2 linked regions of the Coturnix japonica genome follow. The protein of the gene in region 2 interacts with the protein of the main gene of each other region in a biochemical or structural test. Links are inferred from orthologs where the notes say so. Each region holds a gene or a part of one and is shown on either strand. Other genes may lie near its edges.

Region 1 (4,371 bases), on a different chromosome or scaffold from region 2:
ACATTTTAATGAAAATAGTATTCAAAAGCCATAGTAACAAGACCACCTCGTAGTACAAATATAGATTTAAGTGCACAAACTAATTATAAATCCAGTCATGATTACTGTACATTAACAGAACGTTTCTCTTGGCTACATTGTCCTTGAATTTCGGGGTGTGGGGAATCACTGAATAAGTGGGACTTGCACATGTTAGAAAGCAAACATCACCTTCCAAGTTGCAAAGCTCAGCAGGTTAATTCGAGACACCGAGAAGCACTTGGCTGGGAGCAAATCCAGGTGGAAAGAGCTTCAGTCAGCATCCGTAGACTTATAGTGATCATCATCCACAGTAGAGTAGATGTGTCCCTCGCTGCTAAGGAATTCAACTGCTTGCCTTGGAAGGAAAGAAGTCCATTAGTACCTGGCTCACATCAATGCCTTCCTCTCAACCATTTCCCACCTACGTGGGACCTGACGCCCCCAAAAACATCAGCTTCTACACACTTACTTGATTGTTGGTATGCTGACATTGTGGAGCTGAAGTTTCAGCTCTTGGAGACTCATCCCGTCTGGAGAATGGCAGTTTTTAATCAGGTTCAGCACCTGGAAGAACGTGAACCATCATCAGCACACAGCTCAGCTCTATCAGCACTGAACAGCGGGGCCAAAAAAGGATTATCAGCCTTCCAAGAATAACTGAGCTTTTATTTCTTGGTCCTACAACACAAAGCAGCAGCACCCACTGTGTCAGCTGTGCTCTGGAGAAGGTGCTGGCACCCACCTGACTCTGATGTGCTGTGAGTCCATTGACAGGCAGGCTGCCTCCACCATAGGCCCCCACGTCACTCATTCCAACAGAGGTAAACGACTGAGGTGCTCTTGATGCTGACTGCAATTACAAGAGTAATTGAATAAAAGAACTGTTGTGCACAGGCTGCTGCAAACCCAAGGCATGAAGGACATGAAGGACTTAGCCTTCTTTCAGAGGCATAATAATTAAAGATAGATTTCCAACAGAAACCAAGTAAAACTGGCCGCAATGAGAATGTCTCTCAATGGAAATCAAGACTCTCATCACACCCCATTGCAGCCCTTCAGCCTTTCCAGACCCACAACTTGCACAGTTTCCCACTGAACCCAGAGGTCCCTCCCTTTAGATCACCAGTAACAGCTGTAATGGAACCATGACCTTCAACTACACACCATAAGGTTCTTCCTGAGGATCATATGCGCATTAACAGTCTCAAGTATGTGCGTGGTGACCTCGTTCATGTTTTCCAGAGGCATGATCTTAAACGCCACCAAACTCTTCTTGTTCTTCCAGAGAAAAGACAGCAAATACCATTAACAGGGGAGCAACAGGAACATGGTTGCCATAGAACTTAAGCACTCTAGTTAGGAACAGGAGCAGCAGCGGGTGGGGAGTCCATCTGCCTTTAGTTAGCAAAGGTTTTCAACTTAAATGCCCATGTCTGGGCAAGTTTTGATCCAGCTGGCAATTGCTCTTTGCTTTAACACATACAGCATGATCTCAAGGATGACTGCTATGAGTTGACTCCTATATAACATGCTGTGATTATTGTTCCTGCTCTGCCACATCACCAACCCTTTATGCTGCTGCCCCAGCCTTGTTTGTTGTGGAGTCGCACATGACCTTACCTGAAAAGACCGAAGATGACCAGCAACTTTGACGTAAGTTCCTGGGGGCACCACGATATTCTCACTACCTGCCTCCTTACAGAGAAAGGAGAAAGCAAAGAGCTGCTGATCCATCTCTCAGTTATCATACTAAACAACTTTAGGACTGCTATCTCAATCAAACACAAACGACACCCATTCAATCAGTACAAGCAGTCAGGTAAATGTAGCTACAGATGGGAAATCCTTATTTGGATGCACTGTCGGCTTGACAGCAATCAGTGCCAGCTGTGCATTCTGGGAGCAGTCACAGGATCTTATGGCAAACCTGTAGATAAACCAACTGAGAATCTCTTTAATTACTTCCAGTTGTTCAGCTCAGTGCAGCTGTTCATCTCCAGCCACATTCACTGCCAACTGATCACTGTTACCGCAGCACCCAGCCTGGCTCTAACAGGGACATCCATTGATGCAGCTCACACACTGTTTTACCCCCATAGCAGCACCTCAGGACGGTTCCATTGCTTACATCGGTGTCAACCCACTGCCTCACGTCCATGGGTGCCGCTGTCATGTCATCCACCTTGTACAGGATGTTGGTGGGCGCCTTCTCTGCGTGTCGAACGATGCCCACCACGGTGACCTGCGGGGGGAGGGCGGTCAGGGGGCGGGGTGAGACACCAGCGGCCCATCAGAACCAGCTTAATGGGAGAGGGGTGTGGGGTTATAGGGGGTGTGGGACTATACGGGGGTGTGGGACTATAGGGGGTGCCCACCTGCGAGATCTCCACGTCATGGATACGGAACGCCTCGTCCACCTGCTCGGCTGCCAGCAGCTGCGACACGGTGCAGGGCACGATGCTCTGCGAGCGGCTGCGCTGTGGGGGGGGGTGAAGGGGGACGTGATGGGCCCCACAGCCCCACAGCCCGGGCCCCACAGCCCGGCCCCCACAGCCCCACAGCCCGGCCCCACAGCCCCACAACCCAGCCCCACAGCCCCATAGCCCAGCCCCATAGCCCAGCCCCATAACCAGCCCCATAGCCCAGCCCCATAGCCCAGCCCTACCTGCTTCTTCTCGGCCTGCCCGCCCGCTGGTGAACTGAATCCTCCCGGTGACTGCGTGTATCCCCCCGCGGGGCCGTAACCGCCATCGAAGTTACCTGTGAAGGGATGATCGGAGCCGTGAGCTGCGCAGACCCATCTCACACCCCACACCCCACATCCCCCCACACCCGCCCGTCCCGCACCGTGTCCGCCCCACATGGCGCCTCAGCACCGACTGCGGAGCCACCCGCTCCTCCAGCACCGCGTCCCGCGCCCCGCTACCAGGAGCCAATCACAGCCCTCCGTCTTCCGCCAGCTTCCGATAGCGAGATCCAATCACCTCTCTCTTTCTTCCAGCGCTAAGATCCAATCACATCCCTCCTTCTTCCGGCGGTGCTGATGCCGACGCCGCCATGTTGGTTGCTGGCGCTGCCCGGCTCTGTGCCCCGACGGGGCGGGCCGTGCAGGTGAAGGTTCAATGATGGAGGCGGTGACGGTGCGGGCGGCCGCGCTGCTGGTGCTGCTGCAGCCGGCGGTGATGGCGGGGACATTCTGGCACCTGACGGACCTACACTGGGATCCCGGTTACGAGGAGGCGCTGTCGGCCGGGCAGCGCTGCCCGTCGGGGGGATCCGGACCGGGGGGACCGTGGGGCAGCTACGAATGTGATGCGCCCTGGGCGCTGCTCAGCTCCGCTGTGAGCGCCATGAAACGGCTGCGGGCACGGCCGGACTTTGTGCTATGGACGGGGTGAGGAAACAGCACCGATTGTATTGAGTCCCTGCGGGCTGAGTCCCAAAGTGATGGCCCCTATCTATTGCTATGGGCTGTAGCTGTGTTAAATGCCCCCTATCCATTGCCGTGGGCTTTAGATGTATTAAATGCCTCCTGTCTGTTACATGGACTCAGCTTTAGCTGTGTTAAATGCCCCCTATCTATTACTATGGGCTGTAGCTGTGTTAAATGCCTTCTATCTATTGCTGTGGGCTTTAGCTGTGTTAAATGCCCCCTATCCATTGCCATAGGCTTTAGCTGCATTAAATGCCTCCTATCTATTACCATGGACTCAGCTTTAGCTGTATTAAATGCCCCCTATCTATTGCTATGGGCTGTAGCTGTGTCAAATGCCTCCTGTCTATTACCATAGACTCAGCTTTAGCTGTGTTAAATGCCCCCTATCTATTGCCGTGGGCTTTAGCTGTTAAATGCCTCCTGTCTATTGCCATGGGCTGTAGCCATGTTAAATCCTCACCTTACTTGGAGCATTCATTGGGTTCCTTTTCAATTCTGTTTCATTCTATTGAACGCAGGCAGCTTTTGCTTCCCTGCTGTTATCCAGTTCTGACCCCAGGTTGCATTATATTCTCTTGCGTGATGCCCCACTCAGCTGTAGCATCTATTAAACACGTTGGAATGGGATAAATGTGCTGAAATGGGATAAACCTGCTTCTAGTGCCCACATATAAAGTAGAACCAAACGGAGCAGCTTTCCACTTGGAGCCATTTCCTCCTGCTTCTCTGCTTCAGCCCATGTGCACAGTGCAAGTTCCTACCCCAAAGACCTTGACTTTATCTCCTATGAGATAAGGAAGAAAACAAGGCTCAGGTGCACGTTCAGTGCCTTGCTCTGCCCACGTGCCTTGATAGTCACAAGTAACGTCTATGTTCTATCTGCTGTTCCAGGGATGATACTCCTCATGTCCCTG
Region 2 (4,457 bases):
AAGCAACACCCTCCCTCTTCCCACATCAACCCAGCTATCATCTCAATTATCCTTCACATTCCAAGCAGTTTTTGCTAGGCTGCTTCTAGCCTGGAGAACTACAGTGACCTTCACAAGCAATCTACAGGCAAGCAGTACAGCAACGTGCAATCATCGAGGAGGAGAAGAGATCTCGGTCTCACTGAATTTCAAGCCAGCACTCCAGTTAATTATAACTTCACCCCTGGCATTTGCAAAAGATGAGACAGAAACCAAACAAACCAGAAATAGGATTCTTTTTCTAGTTGGGGAGCGTGCCCACTTATCACCTTTTAAACTCATCCCTAACAGCCCTAAACACAGAATTTTCACTTTGCTTGGAGATTACAAAAATCTACAGAGGAAAAAAGATGATAAATGTCAGTTTGCATTTCTTTACAAAAGTTTCTGCAGCAACTGTCACCTAATTAGGCAGTCCTCAAATCAAAGGTGAAACGCAGAAGAGAGTGCAAGCTCCACTGAGCTAAATGCTGGCTGGGACTGCTGAGAGCCAGATCTGCTGCAGGAAGCACCAACAGGAATCTGGCAGAGCAAGGTAACGTGCTCCAGTCAACAACAACGCTGCCAACAGAAGAACTGAGAAGGGCGGGTTCATTTAACAAAAAGCAAAGACATCATCAGATGAAATCAAAGAGTCATTAGTGAGCTTAAGAGGTTTTTGAGGTGCTCGGAATTTGACCACAGTCACACACCTGGACCAAGCCAGGTTCTACAAGCCAGGCATCGAGGCAGTCTTAAACCAGTATGAGAACTGGTAAGGGCACAGCTCAAACACAGCTTCACTTCTGCTTTACCTGGCACTGACTGTCCTCTGGGAACCACCGACTCTTGGCTGCCTGCGAGCCCTTCGTACTCGCAGACGCAGCACAACCTGAGGCCCAGGCAGCAGCTGGTGCTGGTCAGACGCCCCCTGCAGCCTCAGCAGTCCGATGAGAGCTGAGGGAGGATTCGCCTGCTGGTCAGGATCAGCAGCTGCTTCCCTTGCGGCATCAGCAGTCGATACGACAACAACTTCATCGTCAGAAAGAACGATAGGGCTGCCTCCTCCGCTGCTGAGCGCTGCAACCTGAGAGGACAGTGCCGTGTGAGCAGCGGGCTCTGCAGAAAGCGTCCCCTGGTTCTCTAGGGAGTAGTTCACCACTGGTTGGAGATCAACTTCCATCTCTTCCTGAGCCATTTCTGTCAAAAACAAAAGAAAGCTATGAGCATTCACAAGCCTGCGCCCCACTAGTGGCCTGATGGCAGCAGAAACTGGCTGCAGCACTCAAAAGCCTTCAACATTCAGACTAGAGACAAGTTGCCATTTTGCCTTTGACATACAGCACAGAGAGACTGTCTCAAGTAGATACATGTATGTGAGCTGGCACCTTCCTGAGTTCTTTGTCTGAAGCCTTTAGCTCAGCAGTAGCTGGCACCAAAGACACACTGCAAATCCTGTTAGGTAAACCTTTGGATGAGCATGGAAAGTTCAGTAATTCTTGTTCTATTACTTTCCAGTAAATGCCTTTGGATCTTGGAGGAAAGTTTGAAGATATCTTAGAAATTCTCCATGGCAAAACCACTGCAGAAACAGTGACAAATACAAATAGAAATGAGCTCTGTAGAGCATCCAATCCTTTGCAGGCAGGCAGTCTTGCAACACAGAAAAGCTTAGATTATTTCATGAACTAAACAAATCAAAGCAAACAATTTGGGGGAGGAGAGAGCAGATTAAGTTCTGCAATCTGCTGCTGATCATTTGCCTCCCACGTGTTTTGGCAATCACAAATCTGAAAGGCTTTGGCTTTGGGGACAGCAGACCTTCAACATTATTTGAGAGCCCAAAGTGCGCACCAAAACTTCTCAAGGTAGGCGCTGTGTGAACAAACAAGGGTGTTTTGCTACAAAGAATAACCAGAGAACGTACACAAGATCCACAAGAGGTGGTTATACTAACAACTTTTGATATATCTTTTAACAAACTCTTACTAATCACTTTATAACACTACTTTAATTACCATTAGAATCACTAAAGTTAGAACAGACTTCTCAGACATCCAAGTCCCACTGCACCCCCCCCATGCCCATGTCCCTTAGTGCCACAACCCCACCGCTCCAGGGATGGCGATTCCCCCCTTCTCTTGGCAGCTGTGCCACTGCCTCAGTGCTCCTTGGGAAAAGAGGATTTCCTCATAACCAATATTTCAGCTTAAACTAGGCCAGAAAGGACACCAAGCCCCATCTCCCATCTGACCAGTCACAGATAGAGTTAAGGCAGTCCTGCTGCACTGAACTCAGGTTTGTGTTAAGGCTGCCACATGCAAACCCTTATTTTCCTCACACTGGAAGCCCTAAAGCACGGATAGCAAACCCCAAGTATTTCTTCGGGAAGATGTTAACGTTGACATTTTCACCGTGACACTTTGGTGCCTTCCTGGAAGGGCAAAAGTCAGCGGCTCCCCCGAGAGCCGCGTGCACGGCACCGCCCGTCCGTGCGTGTGGGGGGCGGGCAGAAGGTCTCGAGGTCCGAGGGATCGGGGCAGCAGCAGCGCTGGAGCAGCAGCTTCCCCTGGCGGACGGACAGGACTCCGAGAGCAGCACAGCTCCGCACCTCCATCCGGCTGCTGCACCTGTATGGGGGGAGCAACAGAACCCAAAGAAACCATCGGTACGTGGCCAGACTCGGAGCAAGCGGAGCCGTGCTGGGGGGTTAAGGAGGTTCCTCCCACAGGGATCCAACATGGGCCGCTACCCACACAGCGCAGCGCTGTGCCCAGCCGGGCCTTCCATGGCAGCCCCAGGCCGAGCCCCGGGGGAGCCGCTCCGCGCTGCACCCGCCGCCCCCCGGCCTCCCCCCGCACCGTCCCGGCAGCTCCCGCAGGGCTCGGTACGGGCGGCAGCTCCGCCGCGGTCAACGGAACCACGAGAAGGGAAGAGAGAGACGAGGACCGGACCGGACCGGACCGGACCCACCTCACCGCGGCCCACAGCTGCCGCCCGCCAGCGCCGCTCGAGCAGCGCGCCGCCCCGCCCCCTCAGCCCTATTGGCCCGACGCTCCCACTGCTGACGCTTCTATTGGGTGAGCCGAAAGCTATGGGGATTTTCATTGGCCGAGCGCTCAGTCAGTCTGCCCCAGAGAACGGACTGGGGAGGAGGAGACTGAACGGACTTGAGAGTGAAGTGAGGCGTGCTCTGATTGGTCAGTCGAGATAGAGCTGCCCGTCTGATTGGACGGTGAGATCCTCGAGGGACGGAAAGGGCGGGGACCAAGAGACAGGAAGTGCGTTTTGATTGGGGGAGGCGCCGCCGGGACGAAGTAAGCGGGAGCGGGAGGGGATTCAAATCGGGGTTGCTGTGGCAACGGGGCCTAGAGGCCTTTAGGCCTCACCCGCGGGCCTCGAAGGACGCGAAGCAGCCGCTACTCAGAGATCTTCCAGTCTTAGTTAAACAAATAAACATATATTTAAACATATATTTAAGGCAGGGAGGCCAGTCTGGGCGGCCTGCTGAGGCTCTCTGCAGCTAGATGCCCTGATACCTCCTCTTCTCCAGGTCAGCCAGCAGGTCCACGATCTCTGTGGAAGGTAAGGTCAGTGTTAGCCTGAACAGAGCAGAGCAGGCTGTGTGGTGAGGATAAACGCTGTTGTGTGAATGGTCTCTATGAGGAGACAGAAGGAAACCAGCTCTTAGGAGGCCTGGCGGTGTCAGCAGGACAAGGGGGGATCCAAAGAGACAAAACTGGGCAAAATCCGATGGCAAACAAGGCACAGATTCACCACGGAGGTGTCTGACATGTGGGGAATGCCTTCAGGACACTCACGCTCAGCAGACGGGCGCTGGAACGGATCGAAGGCCCGACACTGGTTGATGATTTTCTCCATCTCTTCAGGACAATCTTCCCCGACTGGGTCCTGGAACTGCCGGTCACAGATTTTGTCCCTGATCTCCTGGAGAGAGCAGCCTAAATGGAACACGGACATTAGAAGATATGGAACCCACCAAAGCCATCCCGCAGCCTCCTCCATGGAGGAGCCAGCAGAGGGGCCACGCAAGCTATGTCTGTAATAAACTGCCCCGTCTTTGCTGTGACACCACTAGGCCTCATCGAAACAGGATGCCTTAATGCTTCACTGCATGGGAACAACAAATAGAGACAACCTTTCTTGCATTCTTGTGGTTTAACCATGTGCAGAAGCCGTGAAGATGTCATGCAGACCCAGGTGCTGGGACCCACATGCTATGGGATGCTGAGTTTTTTACACAGGGCCATAGACAACTTCTGTCTCACCTTCAAATGGGATTTTGGAGGTTGCAATCTCCCACAGCACAATCCCAAAGCTGGAAAAAGACAAGCAAGAATTTCTCACTGTTCATCCCGCCACATCGTACACATCTCTAATGGAGAGGGCTGGGGTCTACACCTGATAATAATGTCTGA

The links.
Region 1: the proteins of RFWD3 (region 2) and RPA2 form a complex in vitro, tested with the Homo sapiens proteins (3 studies listed by BioGRID, with this or other methods). The link is inferred for Coturnix japonica from reciprocal best matches to the Homo sapiens genes RFWD3 and RPA2.

Annotation. Positions count from the first base shown.
Region 1 is NC_029538.1:1,359,145-1,363,515, forward strand, and holds the start of RPA2 (replication protein A 32 kDa subunit), read right to left. Parts: upstream 2,997-4,371; 5' UTR 2,885-2,996; coding exon 2,869-2,884; intron 2,782-2,868; coding exon 2,687-2,781; intron 2,499-2,686; coding exon 2,397-2,498; intron 2,264-2,396; coding exon 2,150-2,263; intron 1,717-2,149; coding exon 1,642-1,716; intron 1,300-1,641; coding exon 1,186-1,299; intron 872-1,185; coding exon 764-871; intron 586-763; coding exon 491-585; intron 377-490; coding exon 292-376; 3' UTR 1-291. Other genes in the region: SMPDL3B (acid sphingomyelinase-like phosphodiesterase 3b), read left to right, coding at 3,144-3,415, 4,349-4,371. UniProt on the Homo sapiens protein: As part of the heterotrimeric replication protein A complex (RPA/RP-A), binds and stabilizes single-stranded DNA intermediates that form during DNA replication or upon DNA stress.
Region 2 is NC_029526.1:771,016-775,472, reverse strand, and holds the start of RFWD3 (E3 ubiquitin-protein ligase RFWD3), read right to left. Parts: upstream 3,047-4,457; 5' UTR 2,992-3,046; intron 2,649-2,991; 5' UTR 2,427-2,648; coding exon 2,390-2,426; intron 1,219-2,389; coding exon 834-1,218; intron 1-833. Other genes in the region: MLKL (mixed lineage kinase domain-like protein), read right to left, coding at 3,724-3,980, 4,308-4,357. UniProt on the Homo sapiens protein: E3 ubiquitin-protein ligase required for the repair of DNA interstrand cross-links (ICL) in response to DNA damage. Plays a key role in RPA-mediated DNA damage signaling and repair.